Linked DNA regions of Stegostoma tigrinum. The protein of the gene in region 2 purifies or fractionates together with the protein of the main gene of each other region. This does not show direct contact. Links are inferred from orthologs where the notes say so. Each region holds a gene or a part of one and is shown on either strand. Other genes may lie near its edges.

Region 1 (7,165 bases), on a different chromosome or scaffold from region 2:
ACGCAGTGCTCAACCAATATCATTATCATATTCCTGTTTCTTAGGTTTCTCAGGCACAAATTTGCTGCCATGTTTCCTACGTTATAACAGTTACTACACTCATTTTTTTTAAAGTTTCGAAAAAACTTCATTGGCTGCAGACTGCTTTGGGATGTCTGGTGCTTATGAAAGGGCTTTAAAAATGTGCTTATTGTTTGTCAGAAGTATCATTCAGAAGATAGCCATGAAGACTGCAGAAAATACAGGAGAAACATTGAGAGAGTTAGGGCAAGGTGGGAAGGAATGATCACTACAAATGTTATGGCAATATTAAGTTGAAGCTTAAAATATTTTAAAATGCAAGTTTAAACACATACTTATGACTTAGTAAGGACCAAAACATCCTTCATGGAGAGCCACAAGGCACAGCCATAGTAATAAATTAGTACTTTGCATCTGTCTTCTAAGAAAGCAGACAATAAGAAAGCTGCAAAAAGCCTTGTAGAGAGAAAATATGTTCTTAAAAATTATCATTCCGTAAAGGTAGTTAAGTCACCTGGTCCGAGTAGAATGCAGATGGCATTGTTGAAAGAAGCAACAATAGAAATAGCAGAGACAGTCACAATTTTTCAATCTGCATTAGATACAGTTGTGGGGGAACTGTAGGATTATTAATATTAAACTCAGTATTCAAAAGGAGGGAGAGGATTAAGCCAGGAAATAGGTTTGTTATTTGACAAAATAAGCTTTCATTCAAAAAGGTGTGCGCTAATCAAGCTCAGCCAGCACAAATTTGTTATGAACACATTAACAAGGAACAAGAACAGTGCATTCAGCCCTTCGGACCTGGTCTGCCATTCAATAAAATCACGACGAATCGGTTTATAATCTCAACTCTAACTTCCCGCATATCCCAGATAAACTTTCAATCCCTTGTAAGCAAAAACCTACCTAAATATCTTTGGTACACAGGTAAAGATTCTGCATTCACTCGAAAGGAATTGCGAAGGTTTAACCCTCAGGGATTTTGAAAATAGTGTTTTCTCTGCTGTCTTAAGCAGGCAACCTCTTACTTTTAAACCCTGACTTCTTGTTCTAGATTCTCCCACTAGTATCTTCAAATTCAGTTACTACACCTGCAGTCCCTTTATCGAAAGCATTTCATCAATTGTAAAGAGTTAAGCCCACAGCACCAAACTGTGGTACACACATGACATCCTGCCAGTTTGAAAAAGACCTATCAGCTCTTACTGCTCACTTGTTAGCCAGCCCATGTTCTATGCTTACCAATGTTATCATCTACACAATCCCTGATTTTTGAACATTCATAGTAACAAGTGCGATCCCATACAGGGGTATACTAGCAATGATTTTAAAGATCTGACATACGAATGCCTCCTCATATTTATGAGTTATTGATATTGCCCTGCATTGTGTACCAACGTACACAAATAGATATGTAGATGGATTCAAGAAAGTAAGTTATTCACAGTCTGCACCTCCTTAATAAACTTATCAAATGCCTCTTGGAAGGACAATTACAACACATTCAATGTTCCTGCTGTCTACAGCAGGTGTTACTGCTTCAAAGATGGAAGGCAAATGTGCCAAACAAACGTGTACCAGACCTTCCTCTTGTTTTCTTTTAACATAAGTTGCCCGGACTAAGATTAGGGAGTAGCATCATAAAACATGCAGTGGATGCAAAATGTGGCAAAGTAGTAGACGGCAGTGAAACCAGTGGCAGTCTCCATCAAGATAGGATGGTAAAATGGACAGACGTATGGCCAAGTAAGTTAAACATGAAGGTGAACTGTTGCACACTGATCAATGGACAGAGTAAATTACAAGATTTTGAAAATCAATGACCAGCGAGACACCTTGGTGCCGAATTGAATAAACCCATAAAAGTGGTTGAAAAAGTATGATTAATTGAACTCATACAAGAGGAATAGATTAAAAAAGAAAAATCACACTAGCACATTATAAATCACTGCAGTGATTATGTTGGAGTATTATGGGAAATTTTACAGATGAGGCGCTTTGGCCCATCATGTCTGTACCACCTGAAATACACTATCTACACTAACCCCACTGTCCCACACTAGGCCCACAGCTTTGAAAATTACAATGCTTCAAGTGTGCATCCAATTTTTTTTTTAAAAAGGTAAGAGTTTACTCATCTCTACTATCCTTCCAAGCATGAAAAAACAAATTTAGTTTACTGCAGAAGCAAACCCACTCTGAATTTTGACACAGGCACAGTGTCAAGTTTAAACTTAGTTTGCACTATAATCAGTGCTTAAAGCAAGAGCACTGTTTCAGCTATATCAGATGGGACTGTAACAACTTGATACAAGAAAATGTCAGGTAAACTCTGCAAGTGAACACATACACATTACCAACAGTAGGCTTCTAAGTACTACTTTTGCCTCTACTGAATAAGAATCACATCAGCACTACACAGATGCTCAGGATGGAGTTAAACCAAGAGAAGTAAAATACCTCAGCACATTTGAGATTCAAAGCATGACATTTCTGGTTCATAGGCTGAAAGCGTGCCATTATAGATTTCCACCTTGTCAACCTAAACCAAATTACAAACATACAAAAAAGAATAGGACAAAATGGCCCATCAAAATTCACACATCACTGGTACCAACCATATCTCCAGCCTTTTAATAAAAATTCAAGCTCTTTTCCAAATCCTGGCAGCCAATCCCCGTACCGTATTCAACAAATAACAGTCTCCTATAGCAATTATTCTTTTAAATTGTCACACCCCGCCTATTACAAGATTCATCCCTAGTACCCAAGATCTGACCACCTTTTATTTTCCCGAGACTATCCACCCACAGTACCCAAAACTGAATTATCTGTTTGAGAGAGAAATTGCCACAGGAGACGTCTGAACAGACTTCTTACCTTTCTTGACAGTCACCCATCTATCTGACCGATCCTGCTGTGAAATCACTTCTGTAAATCTACTAGGCATCTGTCTCTTGTATGCCCTCAATGTCATCAAGCTTAAAAAGCAGCTTTCAACAGTACCTTATATTTTCCCAAAGAATACTAAGCATGCAAAAAAAAGAGAAAATCAAACATTTAATCTTAAATAAAATCAACCACTTAGCTGAACAATCAAATTAAAAACTCCTCCTCAGGTAGTCTAGCAGACAGCTTTCAATCCATTGATTAAAAAACTCACCCCAGAGCCATCAACTTGTAGGTCTTTCTGAAAGCTCTAAAAACACAATTGTTTTTAAAAAATCCTCCTCCGTGATTTAAATAAATCTCTTCAGCAATGTTTTAAAAGAATCTTTCCTACATGTATAACTTTTTTAGCGTATAATTTTTAAAAAAATACTTGAGCTATCCATTCAAAAGCTTCTCCGAAAGCTCAGCAAACACTATTTGGAAAAAAAAGTGTTTGCTTTTTGGATTTTTGACTACAAAAGAACCAACATAACTCAAAATAAAAATTTTTACTACATTTCAATAGTATACTATAAGAAACCTAAAAGAAAGTTTGCAAACTCAGGAGCAGCTACAAGATCCACGCTACTGTCAGTTCACCATTTTTATTCTTCGTTCCAACCTCCACCTCCCCACACCTCCAAACACAGAGATTCTGTGTCAGCGAGCACGAATCTAGGATAAGATGTTGTTTCTCCTAGAGCAAGGATTAAGGGCTTCTCAAAATGTTTAAAGCATACTGTTAAAAGGGTCAGTGAGAAGCTGGAAGTTAATGTACACATTCGTAGGAATGACATAGTTAAGGAAAAGATTAAGGCTTTACAGACTGAATATAAGAGGTTAGATAGAACATTTAAAAAACTGAACCTCAAAAGCAGTACCCTCCAATTTAATTCCATTAACAAGTTTGTATGAAGGAAGAAATAAAAGGATATAGGACATAAATCAATGGCTGAAAAAGTGATGTAATATTCAAGGATCGAGGTTCTTGGAACATCGCGGACTTCCTCTTGTGCAGAGAAGACCTGTTCAAAAAGAATGGGTATCACCTGAACCGGAAAGGGATCAATATCCTTGTGGAGAGATTTACTATGTCTATTAAGGGAAACTGTAAACTATTAGAGGGATAGAGGGATCTTAAGTAACGGATCAACAGAAAGATGGTTCTGAATCTGAAAAGAACAATTAGAAAAGACAGTAAAACCCCAAAGAATGAAGTAGCTCTGAAGAATTAAACTGCATTAAATTTCAGTGCAATGGGTCTTAAAGATAAGGTTAACAAACTGAGGACACGTTAAGGAACGTAGGATTGTGATGTAACAGCTATTATGAAATGGCTGAGGGACAAGCAACTCCATGCTCCGAGTTTCAGATGCTAGATGAGATGTAGCAAGGGAGGTGGAAGGGGGGGGAATCTGGCTTTTTTGATTAAGGAGAATATTACTACCACAACTAGAAAAGATATTTCTGAAAAATCTTCTAGTGAAAATGCAAGTTGATATTTCTCTAATGAAATGGACACAATAAGGCCTGTAGACTGGGAGCCACAGTCTATAGATGAAAGGTTTGAAAAGCATTGTAAGTCCAAAGATGTGCAGGGTAGGTGGATTAGCCATGCAAAATTGCCCATAGTGTTCAGGGAAATGTAGAATAGGTGGATTACAGGGGATGGGTCTGGGTGGGATGTTCTGAAGTTCTGGGTGGACTTGTTGAGCTGAAGAGCCTGTTTCCACACTGTAGGGGTTCTAATTCGAAGGTCAGGTAGCATCTGAGGAGCAAGAAAGTCAACGTTTCAGGCCAAAACCCTTTGACAGGACTGAGGAAGGTGCAAGACAGGTTAAATAGAACATTAAAAAAACAGAACCTCAAAAGTAGTAACTTCTGATTAGTCATATTGACAAGCTTGTATGAACAAAGAAATAAAAAGGTAAAGGACATAAATCAATGACTTTCCGGCTGCTCAGATGCTGCCTGACCTGCAGTGATTCCCAACCATACACCTAATGACACAGAGATAATGGGAACTGCAGATGCTGGAGAATCCAAGACAACAAAATGTGAGGCTGGATGAACACAGCAGGCCAAGCAGCATCTCAGGAGCACAAAAGCTGACGTTTCAGGCCTAGAACCTTCATCAGAGACGGGGATGGGGAGAGGGTTCTGGAATAAATAGGGAGAGAGGGGGAGGTGGACTGAAGATGGAGAGAAAAGAAGATAGGTGGAGAGAGTATAGGTGGGGAGGTAGGGAGGGGATAGGTCAGTCCAGTGAAGACAGACAGGTCAAGGAGGTGGGATGAGGTTAGTAGGTAGGAGATGGGGGTGCGAGGAAGGGATGGGTGGGAGGAAGAGCAGGTTAGGGAGGCAGAGACAGGTTGGACTGGTTTGGGGATGCAGTGGGTGGAGGGGAAGAGCTGGGCTGGTTGTGTGGTGCAGTGGGGGGAGGGGACGAACTGGGCTGGTTTAGGGATGCGGTGGGGGAAGGGGAGATTTTGAAGCTCAAGAAGTCCACATTGATACCATTAGGCTGCAGGGTTGTAAAGAATGGAGGGGGGAGTGGAAATGGTAACCATTTCTTTAGATGACATGTCCATCATGGGCCTCCTGCAGTGCCACAATGATGCCACCCGAAGGTTGCAGGAACAGCAACTCATATTCCGCCTGGGAACCCTGCAGCCTAATGGTATCAATATGGACTTCTTGAGCTTCAAAATCTCCCCTTCCCCCACCGCATCCCTAAACCAGCCCAGTTCGTCCCCTCCCCCCACTGCACCACACAACCAGCCCAGCTCTTCCCCTCCACCCACTGCATCCCCAAACCAGTCCAACCTGTCTCTGCCTCCCTAACCTGCTCTTCCTCCCACCCATCCCTTCCTCCCACCCCAAGCCGCACCCCCATCTCCTACCTACTAACCTCATCCCACCTCCTTGACCTGTCTGTCTTCACTGGACTGACCTATCCCCTCCCTACCTCCCCACCTATACTCTCTCCACCTATCTTCTTTTCTCCATCTTCGGTCCACCTCCCCCTCTCTCCCTATTTATTCCAGAAGCCTCACCCCATCCCCCTCTCTGATGAAGGGTCTAGGCCCGAAACGTCAGCTTTTGTGCTCCTGAGATGCTGCTTGGCCTGCTGTGTTCATCCAGCCTCACATTTTATTACCTAATGACTCAATTAGTTTTAAAGTAGTTATGGAAAAGGAGAAGCTTCCCATAAATGTTCAAGTTTTCAACTGGAGTAAGCAAATTTTAATGGCATGAGACAGGAAATTTCAAAAGTTGGTTGGAGAAGATTATTCACAGGGACTGTCAGTTCTGATGTAACACGTTAGATCCATTCTCATGCAATCCTGCATTATAAGAAAATGGTGCAGTAGCCACACCACTTAAACTAATGGGGCCAGAATCGCATTATAGCCAATGCAGGTAAAGAAAGGTTGCATACTACAAATAGCAGTTTAAATTCTTCAATCACGGTGGCTCAGTGGTTAGCACTGTAGCCTCACAGCACCAAGGACCCGGGTTCGATTCCAGCCTCGGGCGACTGCCTGTGTAAAGTTTGCACATTCTCCCTGTGTCTGCGCGGGTTTCCTCCAGGTGCTCCGGTTTCCTCCCACAGTCCAAAGATGTGCAGGCTAGGTGGACTGGCCATGCTAAATTGCCCGTAGTGTTCAGGGGTGTGGGGGTTATAGGGGGATTGCTCTGGGTGGGATGCTTCAAGGGGCAGTGTGGACTTGTTGGGCTAAAGGGCCTGTTTCCAAACCGTAGGTAACCTAATCTAATCTAATGTTAAAGCCAATTTGCATTGAAGAAACATGTTGTTATAGCAGAGCCGACTGTAAAGGGACGACTGGCAACTGAGCAGCTTTCAAAAGTTTGAAAACAACAGTGCAGAGTTATGATGCTCCGGTTAAGTTAAGGTAACACTGGCAGGACGAGGGAACAATGGATGACTAAAGATATTGAGGTTCTAGTCAAGAAAGGAAACAAATTACATATAGGCAACTGGGCTCAAGTGAATATTGAACAGTATAGCAGCAATCTCAAGATCAGGAAGGCAAAGAGGGGATATTGAGATAAGTCTTGGCAGATAAGGTGAAGGATAATACAAAGCGATGCTATAAGGAAGAGAGCAGCTAGAGAGAGAGCAGGGGTCATCTTTGTGTTGAACCTCAGGAGACAGGAGAGATATTAATGTTTTACACCATCAGTT
Region 2 (7,018 bases):
AAATCTTTTCCCCTCTCACCTTAAACCTATGCCCTCTAGTTTTGGACTTACCTATTCTGAGGAAATGACCTTGGCTATTTACCGTATCCATGCCCCTCAAGATTTTATAAACCTCTATAAGGTAACTCCTCGGCCTTCAATGCTTCAGGGAAAATAACCCCAGCCTATTCAGCCTCTCCCAATAGCTCAAACCCCCCAAATCTGCGAACATCCTTATAGATCTTTTCTGAACCCTTTCAAGTTTCACAACTTCCCGCCTATAGCAGGGAGACCAAAATTGAATGCAGTAAAGGGAATGCTAAAAGTGACCTAACCAACGTCCTGCACAGCCACATGATATCCCAACTCCTATATTCAATACAGTGACCAATAAAGGCAGGCATACCAAGCACCTTCTTCACTATCCTAACTGCCAGTCCACTTCCAAGGAACTATAAACCAGTACTCCAAGGTGTCCTTGTTCAGCAACTCTCCCTTGCACCTTACCATTAAATGTTTAAGTCTGCCCTGATTTGCCTTTCCAAAATGCAGCACCTCACATTTATCTAAATTAAACTCCATCTGTCAATCCTTGGTCCATTAGTCCATCTGATCAAGATCCCATTGTACTCTTAGGTAACTTCTTCACTGTCCATTACACCTCCAATTTTGATGTCAACTGCAAACTTAGTAACCATATCTCGTTTGTTTGCATCCAAATTATTTATATAATGATGGAAAGCAGTGGACCCAGCACAATCTTTGTGGCACACCGGCGGTCACAAGCCTGCAGTCTGAAATATAACCCTCCACCACCCTCTGTCTTTTAACTTCAAGGTCTTATAAAAGGCAGATGAAATACTACAAGTAAAATAGCATGGTCCTTCCAATCTTTTTAATTGGTTTCAGTGGGCTGAGAAGTATTGTAGTGCAGATTGACTTCTTACCTTGGCTTGGCTGAGGGTTTTTGTTTTCAATATGTATATTGCCTTCCTGAACTGCTGGTGGTTTAAGTAGAATCAGATCATGATGACAACAGCCTGGTGCCAGATTTGCTGATATAAGTAATTTACTTCCCTAGACCACTAATAATCTTTCCTCTAAAAGATTTCAGTCATTTCCATTTATGTTAAAACCTGAGCCATGGAGTTTCTGAATAAAAACAGAAAGAATTGTGGATACGGTAAACCAGGAACAAAAACATAAATTGCTTGAAAAGCTCAGCAGGTCTGGCAGCATCTCTGAAGAAACAAACATGTTTAATGTTTTGGGTCCAATGTCCCTTCTTCAGAGGGTCCAAACTTCTGATTTTTTTCGTCACAAGATGCTGCCAGACCTGCTGAGCTATTCCAACAACTTCTGTTTTCATCTATGTGGTTTCTAGATGTTTTATTTTGCATTTGTTCAACAGATATGGACATCAAGCATATCTCTCATCTCTAAATGTCTCTGTAGATGATGGGATGTGAGCTACCCTCTTGAATTGCTGCAGTCTGTGTGGTGTGTTGCACCAACAGTGATGGTTGGGAGGATATTTCATATTTTTATCCAACAACAATGAAGGAATAACGATTTAGTTCCAATTCAGGATGGTGATGTGGCTTGGGCAGAAACTTGCACGAGGTGACTTCTCATGCACCTACTGCCTTTGTTCTTCTCAGTGGTAAAAGTTGCAATTTTGGATTGTGCTGAAGGAGCCAGTGATGCGATGTCGAAGGTGGTGGGATGGGTTGCTGAGAAAGCATTTCAAAAGGAAGAATCACACTGGATTTGGCATGTTCATTCTATTTCTCTCTTTACAGAGGCTGTCAGACCTGCTAAGTTTATCCAGCACTTTGTTTTCATTTCAGATCTCCAATATCCACAGTAGTTTGCATTTGTTTTGTCCTGGATGGTGTCCAGCTGCTTCAGTGTTGTTAGCCCCATCTCAATCCAGGTAAGTGGAGGATATTCTATGACATTGCTGACTTGCAGATGGTGAAAAGACTAGTTTTCTTAATTTCTCCAGGAGATTCACCAGAATATTGCCTGATCTGGTGAGATTCAGCTGTGAGGAGAAACTAAGTAGAATAGAATTGTTTTTCTTACAGCACAGATGGTTGAGGGGAGGCGTAAATGAGGGGTACAAAATTATGACTGACGTAGAGAGTACACACTGAGACTAATTTCCCTTCATAGAGATGTCAATAAGCAGGGTGCACAGTTTTAAGGTAAGGAGCACAAATTTTAGAGGAGATTTAAGGGCTTTTTTTGTTCACCCAGTATGTGGTGGGTATCTGGAACTCATTACCTAAAAGAGTGATAATAAAGTGTGAAGCTGGATGAACACAGCAGGCCAAGCAGCATCTCAGGAGCACAAAAGCTTTCGGGTCTAGGCCGATCTTGGATTCTCCAGCATCTGCAGCTCCCATTATCACCTAAAAGAGTGATATAGGCAGTACCTGTCAAGACATTTAAGAACAGTTCAAATGAACATTTGATGACACAGCACGCAACTCTATAGCACACAGCTAGAATACTGCAAAAGTTTTGGTCCCCTTACCTAATTAAACATATTCTAGCATTGGAAGCAGTCCAGACAATTTTCACTAGGTTGACCACGAGTACAGAGGAATTATCCTACAAGAAGTTGAGACATTGGGCTCATACTCATTGGACTTAGTTGAATGCAGATGGCCTTATTGAAACATAGAAGATTCTTAGGTTACTTGTCAGGGTGGATGCGAAGAGGCTGTTTTCCCCTTGTGGGAGAGTCTAGGACCATAGGACATAATCTCAGAGTAAGGGGTCGGCCAGTTAAGACAGAGATGACGAGGAGTTTCTTCTGAGGGCAATGAATTTGTAGAACTCATTAGAGGGCTGTAGATGTTGGATCAAGACCGAGATAGATATATTTTTAATCAGTATGGGAAATGAACAGAAATGGGAAAAAAACAGGAAAACTAAGTTGAAGGTTATCAGATGAGCTGTGATCTCACTGACACGATAGCCTGAAGAGCCATGCCTCTGCTCCTAGGACCTATGGTCTAAGGCTGTGGACCAAATGCCAGGAAATGAAATTTGAGTAGCAACTAGATTTTCCGTTATTGGTGCGGACACCAGTACTGGTTTGAGGCAGACCTGCTGCCTTAGGATGCCAGGAACCCAGTTTCGATTCCACCCTCAGGTGACTTGTCTGTGTGTGTAATTTCCACGTGTCTGCGCAGGGGTTTCTTCTGGGTGCTTCCTTCTGTTTTCCTTCCACAGGACAAAGATGTGCAGATTAGAGTGGACTGGCTATGCCAAATTGACCAATTTTATTCAGAGCTGGGCAGGCAGGGTGGCTTCGCCGCGGGAAATGTGGAGTTGAGGGGGTCGACTGGAGAGACTAGGTGGGATGCTCTCCAGAGTAACAGCGTGGACTTGATGGGCTGTATAGCCTGTTTCCACATTATAGGGATTCTAATTTATGAACAGCTTCTTTCTGCAATGTAAGAAGAATTCCATGACTCTCCACAAGATAAGCATGCAATAGGGTACATGCCATATGTACAAAAAAAATGGATAGATACTTGAAGTCTTTTATTCATCCTCTAACTATTCTTGGACATTTAGAGTTCCATGCAGCATAATTCTCCAAACTAAAACTTCATTTGCGCAAAGACACTGGGGCATTGAGTATATTTATGGCGGACACGGACGGGTTTTCAACCGTTTAACAGGTTGAAGGATTATGGCAAAACAGAGCAACCAAATGGACGTTGAGCCTTGGGATTGAGGTCAGCTTCCATGGCGTGGCAGTTCACAAGGCCTACTCCTAGTTCTTAAATTCTATGTGTATGTTGACGGTGGACATGAAGACGGGTGGCAAGCAATTATCCTGACAGGAGACGGAGATCATATTTGGGTGCGGACCGGAGAGGGTCTCGTCGCCTCCTCGGGTTGAGGGAGGAAAATGGCGCCCGCCCATCCCAACGGACGACGTACGGAAAATGCGTGGAGGGTCACGTGGCAAGGAGGGCGGGCATAAGGCGCGTGACGCTCTCGGCGTCAGTTGGCACGTGACCACCACGTCGCCGACCGCCTCTTGCCCCCCCCAAGCACGCCGCTTCAGCTACCAAATCGCCGTTCAGAACCGCGGCCGGCTAGTGCGTGGACGGTTGGCTCTTTCCGGGTTGAGAGAAGTTACTTCACACACACCACTTCGCCCCCTCTTTAGAGAACGTTTAAATTGTCGCGGCGATGTTCTATCATGTGAGTGGCACATTTTGGCCCGTGTCGCGCGGATCGGGAGGGCAAGACGGTGACAACCGAGCGGTTAGGGTGGGGGCAGGGCAGATGACGCTGCGGCCGCTAACGCGCCAGCGTGCAATCACGTGTTGATGCGCGTCGTCATTGTGATTGACACGCACCCCGACCTATAGGCGCCGTGGTGGGCGGAGGCCTGCTCATATTGATGGCTGTTTCAGCAAATGGTGAGGAGGGGGCGTAGGCGGAAGGTGTGTTTCATTGTCCATTCAAAGAAGCAAAGTTGTGCAGCTCAGAGATGATGGGACTTGCAGATGCTGGAGAATCCAAGATAATGAAATGTGAGGCTGGATGAACACAGCAGGCCAAGCAGCATCTTAGGCGCACAAAAGCTGACGTTTCGGGCCTAGACCCTTCATCAGAGAGGGTGATGGGGAGAGGGAGCTGGAATAAATAGGGAGAGAGGGGGAGGTGGACGAAGATGGATAGAGGAGAAGATAGGTGGAGAGGAGAGCATAGGTGGGGAGGGGATAGGTCGGACAGGTCAAGGAGGTGGGATGAGGTTAGTAGGTGGGAAATGGAGGTGCGGCTTGGGGTGGAGGAGGGGATAGATGAGAGGAAGAACCGGTTAGGGAGGCAGAGACAGGTTGTACTGGTTGTGTGGTGCAGTGGGTGGGGGGGGAAGAGCTGGGCTGGTTGTGTGGTGCAGTGGGTGGGGGGGGAAGAGCTGGGCTGGTTGTGTGGTGCAGTGGGTGGGGGGGGAAGAGCTGGGCTGGTTGTGTGGTGCAGTGGGGAGAGGGGAAGAAGTGGGCTGGTTGTGGGATGCGGTGGGGGAAGGGGAGATTTTGAAGCTGGTGAAGTCCACATTGATACCATTAGGCTGCAGGGTTCCCAAGTGGAATGTGAGTTGCTGTTTCTGCAACCTTCGGGTGGCATCATTGTGGCAGTGCAGGAGGCCCATGATGGACATGTCATCTAAAGAATGGGAGGGGGAGTGGAAATGGTTTGCGACTGGGAGGTGCAGTTGTTTATTGCGAACCGAGCGGAGGTGTTCTGCAAAGCGGTCCCCAAGCCTCTGCTTGGTTTCCCCAATGTAGAGGAAGCCACACTGTGTACAGCGGATGCAGTATAAGGGTCTAGGCCCGAAACATCAGCTTTTGTGCTCCTGAGATGCTGCTTGGCCTGCTGTGTTCATCCAGCCCCACACTTTGTTATCTAAAGTTCTGCAGCTGTTGGAAATCTGAAACAAAAGTAGGATGTGTTAGCTCAGTTAGCCAGGTGACTGTCTTGCCATGCACAATGATGTCAGCAGTGCAGGTTCAGTCCCCACATCAGCTGAGGTTACCATGGAAGATCACAGACACCTTTTACAGTGTGAAAGCAGGCCATTCGGCCCATTGAGTCTACACTAACCCTCTGAAGAGCATTTTCTCTCTCACTCTCTCTCTCTCTCTCTCTCTCTCTCTCTCTCTCTCTCTCTCTCTCTCTCTCTCTCTCTCTCTCTCTCTCTCTCTCTCTCTCTCTCTCTCTCTCTCTCACGCCCCCCCCCCCCCCCCTCGCCATCTCTCCTACCCTATCCCTGTAACTCCTGCATTTTCCAAGGCTAACCCACCTATCCTGGACACTGTGTTGCAATTTAGCACAGCCAGTCTACCCTCACTTGCACATCTTTGGACTGTGTGGGAGGAAACTGGAGCACCTGCAGGAAACCCATGCGCACTCCAAACACACCATCACCTGAGGCTAGAATCAAACTTGGGTCACTGGCTTGGGAACCTTGCAGCCCAATGGTATCAATGTGGATTTCACTAGCTTCAAAATCTCCCCTCCCCGCCACTGCATCCCAAAACCAGCCCAGCTCGTCCCCGCATCCCTAACCTGTTCTTCCTCTCACCTATCGCCTCTTCCCACCTCAAGCCGCACCTGCATTTCTGTGAGGTCCTTGGGTTATTCTTAAACCTAATCCTCTCCCTAATGAGAGAGCAGACCTGTGGCCCAGTAAGGTTATTGCCGATTTTGAGTTATGAACGAAGGCTTTTCTGTTCAGAGGGGCCAATAACTGCAGGTGGGGGCTGATTGTGGGATGCGGTGGGGGAAGGGGAGATTTTGAAGCTGGTGAAGTCCACATTGATACGATTGGGCTGCAGGGTTCCCAAGCGGAATGTAAAGGAATTCCCACCCAAAATGTAGTGGTTCTCCAGAAGTTGCTGCCTAAAAGGAGGTAGAGGGAGAAACCCTCAAGACATTTAAGAAGTATTTGGATGAGCACTTGAAAAGTCACAGCATACTGGCCACTAGCTGGGAAGTCGAATTGGAGGAAGTAGCTGTTTGACTAGTGTGTGTGGCCATAATGGGCCTTTTCTGTGGTGTAAAAACTGTCTCAAAGTTTGAGATGCAGTAGACCTGTTCCAGCTAATGACAACAGACCCAACTTCTGTAACCTATCCACAAAACTGAAAGTTCCTCACCCCGTCGCCATCTAAGAGTCTCGGAAAGGTTTGGAGGAAGGTTTGATTTGATTTATTGTTGCCACACATACCTAAGTACAGTGAAAAGTTTTATGAGCAGTACAGGTGGATCGTAGAAAACAAGGACGTACGGATCAGGGGGCGCCTACAGAGATGGAGGCATACAGGTTACATCCGCACAGGATGCGCACAGCGAGGTCAGCATTAGATTTGGAATTGGAGAGACTATGGGTCAAACACAGGCGAGTGAGACTAGTTTAGTTTGAGAACATGGTTGACGTGGACTAGTTGTACCGAAAGGTATTTTTCTATGCCGTATGACTCTATCCCATACGTCTTCTAAT
Region 3 (7,214 bases), on a different chromosome or scaffold from region 2:
ATTAGTAGGGCTGATACTTTTTTTGCAAGCAGCTCAGCATTTTCAGTTTTCATTCAATTATCTAGTAAGACCCTGTGAAGATAGGGATAATTATCTGCTTTTTATTCATTCGTGGTATGTAGGCAATGGTGGCTAGGTCAGCATTTATTGCATATCCCCAGTTGCCTAACAAAGGTAGTGGCGAGTTGCTTTCTTCAAAAGCTGCAGTCTTTCAGGTGTGCAGACATTCATAGCACTGTTAGGAGGGGATCTCCAGAATTATGAACTGGTTAAATGAAGGAGTAGTGATATATTTCTTAGTCAGGAAGGTGTGTACCTTAGAACTTGGAAGTGGAGAGATCTCCATGCATCTGATTCCCTGTCCTTTCCAACTTGTAGAGTTTGAAGGTTTGGAAGATGTTGTTGAAGAAGCCTTGGTGAATTACAGCATCTTGTAGATGGTATCGTGTTGCCATTGTGCATCAGTGGTGAAGGAAGTAAATGGGTGAGCTGCCAATCAAGCCAGCTAATTTGTCCTGGACGGTGTCAAGCTTAACTGCTATTTCACTTACACCCAAGTTTTACAACACAGTTCTGTCTTGTTTCCCTAATGCATGCCCATCATCTACAGGGGTTGAGTCACTCATCAAAACATTCCTAGTATCTGACCTATTCTCGTAACTACTGAATTTATTTGGCTGGTTCAGCTCAGTTTCTGGTCAGTGACAAACCCTAAAATGTTCACTGTGGAAGATTCAGCAATTCACGATTAAATAGCAAGGGGTGATTGTTAGATTCTTTGTTACTGGAGATGGTCATTGCCTGGCATTCATGTGACATGAATGTCACTCGCCACATAGGAGTCCAAGCTGGGATATTTTCTAATCTTATTGAAAATGGACACTGGTTACTTCAGTATCTGAGCTTAATTTTATGTGATCATATACGAATATCCCCGTTTCTACCCCAATAATGTGCAAAGCGCATACAGTCTTCACATACTTTAGCTGGAAAAGCAAATTTCAAAACATCATATTTTGCTTAAGTTTTCAAGATGAATTGCAAAGTCATTAGTCAACTCACCTGCCAACACAGGATAGTCAAAGTATTCTGCAGCAGGGTCAAGGTTCACCACCTGCACAGATCGATTCAACACCTCACAGTGCTGCTGCATCGTGGAACAGTAAGTACTCTGAAATTAAAAGTGACAAATCCACCTTCAAATTGCATGTAAAATATATAAAATGAAAGAACTCAAAATCTCAAGTATCTTTCTTTTATAACTTAATTCTAGCTTGGTAACTAGAAATTTGTAAACTCTTTAACAAGAATATGTAAATCGTAGAATCACGGAATCCCTATGGTTTGGAAGCAGGTAATTTGGCCCATCGAGTCCACACTGACCTTCTGAAGAACATCCCACCCAGATGCAGCCCCCCTCTCTATCCCTGTAACTGCATTTCCCTCAGCTAATCCAACTAGCCTACACATCCCTTAACACTATGGGCGATTTTCCATGGCCAATCCAGCAAAGCTGCGCATCTTTGGACTGTGGCACAAAACTGGAACACCCAGTGAAAACCCACGCAGACACGAGGAAAATGTGCAAACTCCACACAGACAGTCAGCTGAGGCTGGAATCAAACGCATGTCCCTGGCACCGTGAGGCATCAGTGCCAACCACTAAGCCACCATGCTTCATTTCACAGATGAATCTAGTAATGTTCATCAGTCTACATATATTTAGAGGTTTGGTTTAGTAACGAACTTTGATTGCTTCAAAAAGATCAGACAGTATCATTTTACCAATCTAACGATAGTTACTTCCAAAACCTACCATATAATCTTTTGCAGTCACAAAGCATAAAGAACACAGAAGCATATTGTAAAACAATTCCATCAGGAGGTTCAAATTATTTTGTCCCAAATTGTTGTATAAATCATAAAAACAAAATCCAAAATAAGATTATTGTAATCACCAACACTTTTATAACCAAAAATATTGGGTTTTTTAAGTATTTGTACCAAGGATCAATTAAAACAACACAGCCAAAGAAGTTGGCACAATGATTTACTAGATATAATTTTCTTTAAGTCTGTTGACCAATAAAATTCATGAACTGCATTAAAATAGCCTTTCCCCATTAAAGAAGACATATAAATCAGAGTTAGAACACCAGCAATGGAAAGCTATTATTCTGAGGGCAGCCTGGACAGATCAGAATTAATTCTATGGGAGAGAGAGTAGGATTCAACACTTTCAAAACAAAAAAAAATTATGACCCATAAACAGACATGGTTGCTGCCTTAGGTGCTAATCAAGGCTCATCACTTTCAAATTATCAATTAAAGTGTATACAAGGGTGAAAAAAAAAGATTCCTAACAGCATTGTTGGAAGCATGGAATGTTTGAATACAAAGCTACAGCGAATAGCAAATTTTAATCAAAAATTGATAAATATTTGAAGTAGAGAGAAATGTGGAGTTTAGAGAGAGGGTGCAACGTGGTGGAATTACTCAAAACATGTCAAAAGGGGTACAAACTTTCATAGCTCTAGTTACAGGTTTTGTGAAAACTTCTTTAGTCTCATGACAAATAAACACATTTACAACGAATTAAGACCATTGTACGAATAAGCGTACAATATTATGATAACAATCTTTAATATTGCGGGAGGTTCCCTGACAGTATTACAGCTAATGATTATCAAAAAATCAAGGAGTCTGTTTTGGCCAATCCCTTTACGGCATAATTTTCATATTTTTCACACCAGTGCGCTAAATAAAAGCACGCTCTTGTTATTGCCGAGATCGAAATGCCGTTAAATACCTTCCCGCTGCCGGCAGGCCCCATCACAAGTTGAGCGAAACGAGGCATCTCTCCTGCCACCTTTACCCATAAACTACATAGATAGAGATCCGGGTACCCACACCGAAGGGTCTAGACCCGAAACATCAGCCTTCCGGCTCCTCGGCCTACTGCGTGCATCCAGCCCTACACCTTGTTCGCCCACATCTACTACTTTCTGGTTACGGAAGCCCCTTTGGAATTAGGTTACGCTCCTCCCGAAACGCGCATTTCGAAATGTTCACATGAAGCTCGTTTTTCTAACACTTAGAGTTAATATCGTCCCTTTAACTTGGTAACATTTTCTTTTCAATCCTAAACACTAATTCTTTTATTAAGGAAATGACATAGGTTCCTTTATAAAGCATGTTTTACCTTAGTTTAAATTAAACGCTCTTCAGCCGTCTTGAATTCATGATTTAAAATTAGAATACATAAGGAAAACCCGAAGGAAACAGTTTATGACTGCTAACTCGTACTCCAATTTACCTGACTTTTAGACTAAGATTTATAGAAAGCACAGAGCAAGTTCCAATACTTCACAGTAAAATTAGACAAAATAGGAACAGGATAGGCCGTTCAGTCCCTTGAGCCAACTTTTGCCATTCAGTAGGATCACAGCTGATAAAAACGCTCTTAATTTCCAGTCTCCTGCCATTTAGCATAAAACCTTGATTCCTCTGCTGATCAAAAATCAATCTATCCCAACCTTAAATATATACGAGAACTCTGTACCCTGGCAAGACGTTTCATTAGTTCACAACCTATATGAAATTCCTCCTCACCCCGAATGCCAAGGCTATGACCTCTGGTCTTAGACTCTCTCATGAGGGGAAACATCAATTGTTATTTATTGTAAGTAATTAGATTACAGCTACAAAGAGAAAAAGGTTGGCATTTAACACCACTCACTAAAATTCTTATCCCCATTTGAACTCTCCTTTATACACACACATAGACAAACAAATAGGGAAAAGATTATTGGAGGAGTTGGAAGAAAACTGGAAAATCAGTTCAGTAGTTTCTGCTTCTTGATTCCAGTGTTGAGATTATCCTACTTTGTCTTTATCTAAAAGCTTCCATTGGTTTGTAAAGAGTGTAGAGTGACTGATTCAGTTAGAAAATGTCTGATTTATCAGTTCAAAAGTCACAGATGACAGCAACTGCTACAGGATAGGTAACTGCTTTTCCTCAATTTAAAACCAACTTTTTTTCTACTGCAGAGAACAGGCAGCTTCTGGTGGGAAGAACAACAACACATTTTCTGTGGTCAGAGACAGTAAGAACTGCCAATGCTGAAGTCTGAGATAACACAATGTGGAGCTGAAGGAACACAGCAGGCCAGGCAGCATTAGAGGAACAGGAAAGCTCCCAATGGTCTCAATATGGACTTTACTAGCTTACTATGGTTTTATTCTCTCTAATTTTCACTCTCTGTGGTATTCTTCTCAGTGTGTCTGTCGCTGTTACTTTTCTCCAGTTCCAACCTGCTCATTTGGCTGATAACCTATCAGCTTTGTAAACAACTCCTCAGTTCTTTGTCACCTCCAAATTGCAGGAACTCAAAGCCACATAAATACACAGCATTTACAATGAGAATTCCATTTCATGCTGTGAAATCATGCAACTATGGTGGCAAATCCCTGTTTCTAAAAACAGTACTTCCTCATTGCAGTCCACAATTTATAAAGACACAAAAATAAAAAGATTGATTCTTGTAGTATTTACATGGATAGAGTTTATAGTGTCTTCTTGAGGTTTAACTAGATGCTTTGTTACTCCAGCTCTAATGCAAAATGTTAAATCTCACTGAAATTTGTTGAAGGCATGCATTCTGCATCTCAAATCAAAATAACACACTTCATGAAGACTGTGAACCTTTAAAGAAACATATTTATGAAGAGCTTTATTTCATTCACTATAAACGTTGAAGATATCGACAGCATTTTCGTTATTGTGTGAAGTTAAAAAAAAGCAGAAGAAATAATATCTTTCGTTGGAAATTGATCTTCAACCTTTCAACTCACAATAGCTTCTAATTGTTCTGATAGATGAGTGATCAGCAAGGAGTGCACACAGATTTTGTTATCTCATACAATATGTTAAACCAAATCTTGATTTTCAGATGCAATAATAAACATGATAGCAAGGTTTTAAACAAGTAGATCAAGTCAAGGGATTGTAACTACAATTACTGCCTAATGCTGAAATTATCACTGGGTAATATTACAAAAGTGGCTATTATCTGTTTAAAGAATTCACTTATTAACATATAAAATATGAGTAGCTGCTGATTGGAGAATATATACTACAAATCAAGTTTACAAATGGCTATGGTGCTCAGATTTTAGTATTTTGTTTTATGACTTGTATGGAATAATTCAATTCATATGTTCATAATAATGTTCTTCAAAACTTTTAATATGCAATTCTTAAGTTTTGTCATATATTTAACTAAACAATTAAACCAAAACTCAAAGCTATTCATATTAGCTGGTCTTGCAGGACTGGAGGGCATAGATTTAAGGTTTAGAGAAATAGATGCAGGGGGATATGATGAAGAATTTTTGTGGAGCCAGTGATAATAATGTGGAACTTGCTGCCTACAACAGTAGTGGAAGTGGAGACAATTAACTGTATTAAAAGGAAATTAGATGGCCCTTTAAGAAAATAAACTTGCAGGACTATACGGCAAATGCAACAAGGGAATAAAACTGATCAGATTCCCCCAATCAGAGCTGGCATGAAGCTGATAGTTGAAATTGCATCCTTCTAGACTGTAATTATTTTTATGACTGTATTCATTTTCAGATAAGTTTGTTTTTATTCATTTCTGGGATGTGGCCATCACTGGCAGGCCAGCACTTATTGCTCATGGATGTGAGTTTGCTCGCTGAGCTGGAAGGTTCGTTTTCAGACGTTTCGTCACCATACTAGGTAACATCATCAGTGAGCCTCCGACGAAGCACTGGTGTTATGTCCTGCTTTCTATTTATCTGGTTAGGTTTCCTTGGGTTGGTGATGTCATTTCCTGCGTTGGTGATGTCATTTCCTGTTCTTTTTCTCAGGGGATGGTAGATTGGCTCCAAATCAATGTGTTTGTTGATGGAGTTCCAGTTGGAATGCCATGCTTCTAGGAATTCTCGTGTGTGTCTCTGTTTGGTTGAACACATTTTCTGTTGATATTCATGAAGAGAAATAAAATTTGAATTGTTATAAGTACCAATTAATATTATTCTTGCGCTATTCCTGGATAAATTCAAAGTGTTTTTATTCTTAAGTGCCATACTGAGTTCACAACCAATAATAAATTTTGGTTGCCCAAGTAACAATATATCCAGCAAGTATCTCTAATGGTTAGGCCTAATTAATTTTTACACCAACAACAGAATAAAACTAGCAAAATCTCACAAAATAATTGCCAGTGCCATGTTTATACCAATCAAGATTTCACAACTACTTAACTAAGTATTCAGCTATCACCTTTTCAAAACAATGCCTTTCTTACCTGACCATAGTATAAAGATTTTTTAAAAAACTTTCTTCTCCAGTTAGGACCGATGCTGACTTACATGCATTGGACATCAGAGGTCTTCCAGTTTCTCAATGATGTGACTGCTTTTGTGCAATTGCACAAGAAGCAATGGCTGACTTCAAACATTAAAGACATCCCACCCAAGGACTGATCCTGTTGTTGTCTGACATTTACATACATGCATCTTCCAAATCTAAATGAACAGCAATAGGAAGCAAAAACAAGATTTATATTGCAACAAGAATGGATTTTTTTTGTAGTGTAGGACTTGTATGTTTGGCATGCATATTGCTTAAAGGTGGACATAGTGGTAATTCTAAGATGAGTTCGACATAACACTATAAGAAATAGGAAGAGAAGTAGACTATAAGCCCTTTGAGCCTGCTTTGCTATTTGATAGCATTATGACTTATCCAGTATTCCTCATATCCAATTGCTGCCTTCTCCCCATTCCCCTTGATTCCTCTACTGATCAAAAATCTTTCTCAGTCTTAAATATGAATAACTCTGTCTCTACCACTCTTTGTGGCAAGAAATACCAAAGTCTCACAAGAAGAAATCCCTCCTCATCTCGGTCTTACACTGGTGTCTCTTAATTCTGATACTGTGCCCCTATGGTCCTAGACTCCCCACGAGGAGAAACACCCTCTGATCATCAATCCTGTCAAACACCTTAAGAATCAGCTGTCAGTCAGCTAAGAGCTAAGGCTGGAAGTCAGAAACCGCTGTCTCTTCCAAATAAGGCATATATTTGGATGAAACATTCAGGTTTGCTCACATGCATGGATAATTCCAAATAAGGCATACAGTTGGCACAGAGACTTGTATATAAAGACCCAGAAGAAATCCTTT
Region 4 (7,320 bases), on a different chromosome or scaffold from region 2:
TGGCTCACGTAGCACATTGGTAACACATCAAACCAATGGAACAGTAACTTCTTTCAACTCAAGTCGCACCCATCATCACCAGCGGTGCCGGTGGTCCAGCTCAAAACGTGCTCTCCAAAGGTGAATTTCAACCAACTCTTCAACTTTAAAACCAGGTGTTTCCGAAGTGCCAAAGAGGGCACCAGCACAAATGTTTCACAACACATTGTGTTTTCCTTAAATCTTAGCTTCAACTGTTTTCATCTACTCTCAACTGGGTGTGCAGCTTGCGGTCTTTGACATGGGGCTGCTTCTGAAGAAACGAAGATAGATTACAGAATCAGCCTAGAGCTGCTAAAAACACCTCAATTGCAGTGTGGCTAGGTACATGAAAGATTGACATACTACACGAGTAACATCAGATCGAGCTGCTCTGTCTGAAGTTGCAGCGAAAAGGTTAGCCTACCTTGCACGGGGAATAGGGACTCAGAGGACATGTCACCCTAACCTACAAACATGCAAATCATTTTATAGCAGCATGAGCACAGCTTAGAAGGTGCTTTTGAACTGGTTTAATGCTTTTAACCCTCAACATGCAGGTCTCTTGCAGCCATAACAACAAAGCAAAACCATTAAAGTCACGCGCCAGTGATGCCCGGTTAAATAAACGACAGGACATCCCGCCCACACAACTTCACAAGCCTGGTACATCTAGTACAAAACAAAACGCAAATTGCAGGAGAAACTCAGTACGTCTGGCATATCCATGGGGAGAAAACGCAGTTGACGTTTTGGGTCCAATGACCGTTCCTCAGAACTGGACTCAAAACGCTAACTATTTTTTCCTCTCCACTTATACTGCCAGGCCTGAGTTGCTCCACCAATTTGTTTTTCTGTCAGATCTTCAGCATCCACAGTTCCAAGTTTCATCTTAGAGTTGATCAGCCTCACAATATTCACAGAACACAACACACAATTCATATAAAGGGAGAAAACAATATAACTTGTAAAACTTGAGAAACAGCTTATTTGGCAGCAAGTACTTGTGCAACACAAGTCAGTTTACAAACTAACAACACTGCAAGTGTGCTCATTGTAGTGAGAGTTCTGCACATCCCAGCACAGAAACAGATTTCTTACTAAGCACTGTTTCCACTGCAATTTATTCACCCTGTGCACACCAAGGACACATCCTTCTTGAAACACAGCTACACAAAGTTTCATGAAGTGCTAACCACCCGCGATATCATCATACATGATCAATATTGCAGAATTCAAATAACTCCTGAAAATTGAGATGTCTTTCAACCTGACCTGTCCCTTCACATCCACTTAATAAGCCCGAGAGTGGAGCGAAGAATGGGGACGGAACAGGGAGACCAGAGCTCAAACATCCCAAAATCAATTCAGGTAGGTTTGAATAGGCTGGTAAGTACTTTTGGCCTGTACTTACAGAAATCAGATTATTAAATTCAGGAGTGGATGTGGTAAGAATTGCAAACTATTTTGATGTGGAGGGGGGGGCAAATAACCACTGGTTGGGGGGGGCAGCGTTAAGAATAACCACTGTAATGGGGGGTGGGGGGGGCAAATAACCACTGGTTCAGGGTGAAGAATAACCTCTGTAATGGGGGGTGGGGGGGGGGCAAATAACCACTGGTTCAGGGTGAAGAATAACCTCTGTAATGGGGGGGGGCAAATAACCACTGGTTAGGGGGGGGGCAGGGTGAAGAATAACCATTGTAATGGGGAGGGGGGGCAAATAACCACTGGTTCAGGGTGAAGAATAACCTCTGTAATGGGGAGGGGGGGCAAATAACCACTGGTTCAGAGGGAGGGGAGTAATCAGGCAGGAGGGAAACAGGTTGGGGAGGTCACATACTGGTGTGCGGGGGGTTCTGGCAGCATAATAGCTAAACAAGGAGGCATAATAACTGAATTTGAGAGTGTATTACTAAATGGGGGTGGGTGCAGTAATTGAATGGGGGCAATAATTACAAGTCAGAGCGAAGTATTAGAATTAGGTTTATTGTCACTGTGTGGCTGAGGGGCAATAAAAACTGACTGGGGGCTGGGATGGGGAGTGCGAGAGGAAGGGGATTTGGGAGAGGAATGGAATACCATAAAAACACTTGCTCCCAAGCGTGATAGATGCTCGCCAATGAGGATTGCAAAAAAAAATAAAAGTTTGCTGGGCTGGACAAATGGGCGCTGCTTGTGACAGAAGACAACGAGCCCCTGCGCAGGTAGACAGCATGTCCAGCAAGGCCACTCACATTTCCTCATGCACTTCATCCAGTGCTTGACGATGGAGCTGTAGTGTTTCTTGTTGTCCAGGATCCAGGACGACAGGCCCTGGATGCCGTCCATCGTGTTGGTGACCGTCAGCAGCTTCTTCTCCAGCGCAGCCTCCAGAGCTGCCAGGGAGGAAGACGAGCCGCTGGGAATGGTGGAGGTAGTGGATGATGACGACGAAGACGATGCTGCTGAAGAAGAAGAAGAAGCGGCCACGGCCGGCCCTCCCGCTGCTGCTGCTGCGACAGCCGCCATCTTGCTCCCTCCGCTCTCGCTCTCCCTCGCTGTTTGCCCCGCCCCCACCGAAGCAGGTGACGTGCGCGGCGACGCAAGACGCGACTGCGCGCACGCACAGGCGACGCCAAAAGGGGAACGGGGAGGCGGAGGGAGGGGGGCACACGCACGACGCTGTTCGTGGGGATGGGGGGTGGTGATGACGGCGCACCGAGCGAGAGCACGTGATCTCCTTTGCGACGGAGCGTGCGCGGCCTGTCGTCCGGCCCACGTGACCTCCCCTCCCCCACCACCAGCCGAGAGACGACGGTTACTTTCTCTCTCGATCGCTTCACTTTCTCTACTGTCCTCACCTCCGCTTTGATTTGGACAGGACGGAACGGGGGTTATGAGGGAGGGGGAGGAAGGTAAAGTGCTGGCAAACACCCGCCCAACCAAGCTTCTCTTTCCCACCACCGAAAAGTGGAAAAAAATCTCCCCGATTGCAAACGGGGTTCTTCCTTTTCGTCCCCTGCACCCCTTATCGCGAAGGCGACGGGAGGGGGCGGGGGTACGAGACCGTTAAGTGGGCGGTTCGGCCCCGCCTCCACCCTCAGCGCGCAGGCGCAGACGTCGACACCACGCCCGTTTCAGCCGACTCTTCCTCAGGCTCCTCCCCCGACCCTAAGACCCCGCCCACATTCCTCAAGCCGCGCCCGTTTGCGCTCAGGCTCCACCCATTTGTTTCAGATCCATTCCCCTTGTTTGCTGCCCGGTCGCTAACCTTCAGGTCCCGCCCATTTGCCGTCAGATTCCGTCCATTGCACGGAGAACACGCCCCTTTCCCCAGAGCCGCCTTTGCGTACTATCCCACAGAACACGCCCACTTTACAACAGACCCCTCCCCCTACCCGCGGACTCCGCACAACACTTCAGAGCACACCACCTTGCCACTAGGACACGCCTCCTTTTCAACAACTCCCCAATCATTTCCCTTCCGAAAGGCCCCGCCCCTTCCCCTTCGGAACACGCCCCCTTCTCAACACACCTCCACACCTTTTCGTCAGAACACGCCTTCTTTCCCTAAGTCGAATAACCATTTCCACTCCCGCTCCCATTCTTTAGATGACATGTCCATCATGGGCCTCCTGCACTGCCACAATGATGCCACCCGAAGGTTGCAGGAACAGCAACTCATATTCCGCCTGGGAACCCTGCAGCCATATGGTATCAATGTGGACTTCACCAGCTTCAAAATCTCCCCTTCCCCCACCGCATCCCAAAACCAGCCCAGTTCATCCCCACCCCCCACTGCACCACACAACCAGCCCAGCTCTTCCCCCCCACCCACTGCATCCCAAAACCAGCCCAGCCTGTCTCTGCCTCCCTAACCTGTTCTTCCTCCCACCCCAAGCCGCACCTCCATCTCCTACCTACTAACCTCATCCCACCTCCTTGACCTGTCCGTCTTCCCTGGACTGACCTATCCCCTCCCTACCTCCTCACCTATCTTCTTTTCTCCATCTTCGGACCGCCTCCCCCTCTCTCCCTATTTATTCCAAAACCCTCACCCCATCCCCCTCTCTGATGCAGGGTCTAGGCCCGAAATGTCAGCTTTTGTGCTCCTGAGATACTGCTTGGCCTGCTGTGTTCATCCAGCCTCACATTTTATTATCTTGGATTCTCCAGCATCTGCAGTTCCCATTATCATTGACTCCCTGGTGAGCAAAGAGGCCATTCAGTCCATCAAGTCTGCACTGGCTCCAAAGATCATCCCACCATCCTGTCCCTGTAACCCTCGATTTTATCATTATTCCTTTCCACACGTGACTTGAAACACTGGGTGTTTTAACCATCCCAAAGTCACAGTTGCAATGCACCAAGTGTGGCAGTTTTCAAACACCATTTTCCCAAAACATGGTTAAATAAGCAAGTAAGCCAAGCAGCATCTCAGGAGCACAAAAGCTGACGTTTCGGGCCTAGACCCTTCATCAGAGAGGAGGATGGGGAGAGGGAACTGGAATAAATAGGGAGAGAGGGGGAGGCGGACCGAATGTTTATTTCGGGTAGATTTCTTTCTACACACACACACAGAGTTCCCATTATCTCTAAATAAGCAAGTAATTGGCTGAAGTATTGGAATGTGCTTTTAACTATCATGCCAGGATACCATGAAGAACTTACCTGCTCTTCTCCAAAATAAGGCAGTGCTCAAAACAGTCAGCCAATCATCTGCATGACGAGACCCCACCATGGGGTAACTCAGAGTGCCAAACCCTCAGCACTGACGCCCTATCATTGCCCGCTCCCTCAACACTGATGCTCTGGCAGTGTGACAACCCACAGCACTGAGCCTCCAAACAGTGCAGTGCACCCACAGCACTGACGGTACAAACGTACAATAATGCTACACTCCCTCACAACTGAACCTCTAACAGTGCACCCCTCCACCAAGGTGGAACAGTTGTTCAGTGGTCAGAACTGTCCCCTCATAGAACCAGGGGCCCATGTTGGGTTCCAGCCTCTGGTGACTGCCTGCGTGGAGTTAGTACATTCTCCCCGCTGTCTGCGGGGGTTTCCAACAGGTGCTCCCGCTTCCTTCCACAGTCAAAAGATGTGCAGATTAGGGTGGATTGGCCATGGGAAATGCAGTGTTATAGGATAGGGGAATAGGTTTGGGTGGGATGCTCTTCAGAGGAACGGTATAAACTCCATGGATCAAATGGCCTGCTCCTACACTGTGTGGATTCTATCAGTGCTCAAACAGTGCACTGCTCACTTAGTATTTTATCACTTATAAATGCCCAGTCAGCTTTGAGCCCACAAGCATCAAACTTGAATGATGGGGCTGCTACCAACTGACATGATGTGAACAAGATTTCAAGGCTAGGCGGCATATTTTAAGTGTGAGGAGGACGACGATTTGGAAAGACATGAGGGGCATTTGTTTTTTTAAACAAAGAGAATGGTTCACATATACAATGAGCTTCCAGAGGAAGAGGCAGACATGGACACAGTTACAATGTTTAAAAGACTAAGCACATGAAAAGGTTTGGAGGGATATAGGCTAGGAGCAGGCAGGTGGGACTAGTTTAGTTTGGATTTATGGTCAGCATGAACGAACGAGTCTGTTTCCATACTGTATGAATCTACGGCAAAAAAAGAGCGACACACTGGGGCATGGATGATGATCAGGTGGTACCTTTGGAACGCAATTCAGGGAGCGGCAGCTGTTAGCTTGACAATTGCCAAGGAAACACAGTTCTTAGTTGGCTCAAACTACAATCTAACAGAAGAAAGCATCGTTAAGTTGATCTGCATAATTTCCAATGGGCACTGGTATTTGTTTTGTAGGTTAATTTGTTCTGGTCCACCTGGTCTATCCAAATCTTACCACCCACTTCAATGTGTTGTTGTCTTGCCTCACCTATGAATGCTGGCAACCTAGCTAGGCCCCAACTCATGCAGCATGAAGATCAAACCTGGAATCTTGCTGCTCGGTGGCGCAGGCCACCGTGGATGGGTTGCTGCCAAGTAAAGCCATCTGAACAGGGTGAATGGGCTTGAGTTACAGGTCAGTCATGATCCAGTGCAACAGGATTGGGGGTGATGAGGCTCCAGCAACAAATGACCTCTTCGCTTTCCTATGGTAAGAAGACATTGACTCCACTGACAAGAGGCCGCCCAGACAGAAGTGAAGCTGTTTGGGTGTACTGTAAAACAAGGATAAATGGTGACAGCGTCATGGAAGCCATCCTCCAATCCATGGACTCCACTTAACACTTCTCGTTGCCTTGGAAAGGCAGCCCATATCATCAAAGCCCTCCCACACCATTAATGCTCTCTTCCAATATCTTCCATCAGGCAGAAGGTACAGAAGCATCTTCTCTGTTGTTATTAGACTGCTTAATGGACCTTTCTAATTTCAAATAATGTTGATCTTGCTAATGCTGATTTTTGTGCACCTCCTGTGAAGTCATAACCTTGTATGCCTTGCTCTGTCTAAGCACACTATGATTTGTATGTCCTTGTTTGCTGTGATCGGCCTGTACTGCTCATTAAACAACACTTTTCAATGTACTGAGGTACACGTGACTACGATAAATCACATCAAGAGGCAACTGTGCTACACTGCTGCCAAGGACACAAACTTCAGAACACTGCACTGACACTTTAGAAAAAAAATAATTAGTCTTTATTATGAAACTCCAAGCTGTAACCCTCTACAGCACTGAAATCGTATCTGAGCAGCTTCTCTTCTTTTTACAGGCTGTTAACACACTCTTTGAGGTTCTCACTTGAAAGGTAACAATCAGCTGTTAATGGGAGATTATTCAGGTTGAGCACAGGACATAAGGGTAGAATGAGACGGTCACCTTGAGATATGTCAAGGAATGCCAGCAGTTGTCAGAGTGTCAAGTTCAGGACATGGCAGAAGTGGGACAATTTCGCACATTAGACATCACTCCCCGGAGTCAGCATTGCATCATCTCAGAGCTGTTACAGCAGGGGGTTAGATAACGATTAAAACTCCTTCTACACTGTCTGCCTCCATCAATCACTCCTAGGACAGGGACAGCACAGAGTTAGCTTCAGAGTAAAGCTCTGCTACACAAAGAAACAATCTGTCTTAACCTCAGCATCAGAAACAGGACCACTGCAGCACAGAGAGCTCTCACAATATCCTCAGGCTCAAGTACAAAGTGCAGTAAAAATCCTGACCACACTGGGCTATCCTCCAAACCAGGGGCAATCCAGCCTTCAGACCAGAGAGATTCCAACCCACCTCTCTGTGGCCAAGTCAGGGTCACTCCACTGCAGTGAGCATTCACC

What was found.
Region 1: the proteins of polr2g (region 2) and gtf2b purify together in Homo sapiens (affinity purification with mass spectrometry; 3 studies listed by BioGRID and IntAct, with this or other methods). This does not show direct contact. The link is inferred for Stegostoma tigrinum from reciprocal best matches to the Homo sapiens genes POLR2G and GTF2B.
Region 3: the proteins of polr2g (region 2) and gpn3 purify together in Homo sapiens (affinity purification with mass spectrometry; 3 studies listed by BioGRID and IntAct, counting the BioPlex papers as one, with this or other methods). This does not show direct contact. The link is inferred for Stegostoma tigrinum from reciprocal best matches to the Homo sapiens genes POLR2G and GPN3.
Region 4: the proteins of polr2g (region 2) and regulation of nuclear pre-mRNA domain-containing protein 2-like purify together in Homo sapiens (affinity purification with mass spectrometry; 3 studies listed by BioGRID and IntAct, counting the BioPlex papers as one, with this or other methods). This does not show direct contact. The link is inferred for Stegostoma tigrinum from reciprocal best matches to the Homo sapiens genes POLR2G and RPRD2.

Annotation. Positions count from the first base shown.
Region 1 is NC_081361.1:89,377,446-89,384,610, reverse strand, and holds the start of gtf2b (transcription initiation factor IIB), read right to left. Parts: upstream 3,019-7,165; 5' UTR 2,925-3,018; coding exon 2,905-2,924; intron 1-2,904. UniProt on the Homo sapiens protein: General transcription factor that plays a role in transcription initiation by RNA polymerase II (Pol II). Involved in the pre-initiation complex (PIC) formation and Pol II recruitment at promoter DNA.
Region 2 is NC_081395.1:6,055,780-6,062,797, forward strand, and holds the start of polr2g (DNA-directed RNA polymerase II subunit RPB7), read left to right. Parts: upstream 1-4,008; 5' UTR 4,009-4,200; coding exon 4,201-4,212; intron 4,213-7,018. UniProt on the Homo sapiens protein: Core component of RNA polymerase II (Pol II), a DNA-dependent RNA polymerase which synthesizes mRNA precursors and many functional non-coding RNAs using the four ribonucleoside triphosphates as substrates.
Region 3 is NC_081379.1:24,206,127-24,213,340, reverse strand, and holds the start of gpn3 (GPN-loop GTPase 3), read right to left. Parts: upstream 3,004-7,214; 5' UTR 2,858-3,003; coding exon 2,810-2,857; intron 1,172-2,809; coding exon 1,063-1,171; intron 1-1,062. UniProt on the Homo sapiens protein: Small GTPase required for proper localization of RNA polymerase II (RNAPII). May act at an RNAP assembly step prior to nuclear import.
Region 4 is NC_081400.1:2,610,810-2,618,129, reverse strand, and holds the start of regulation of nuclear pre-mRNA domain-containing protein 2-like, read right to left. Parts: upstream 3,023-7,320; 5' UTR 2,530-3,022; coding exon 2,256-2,529; intron 1-2,255.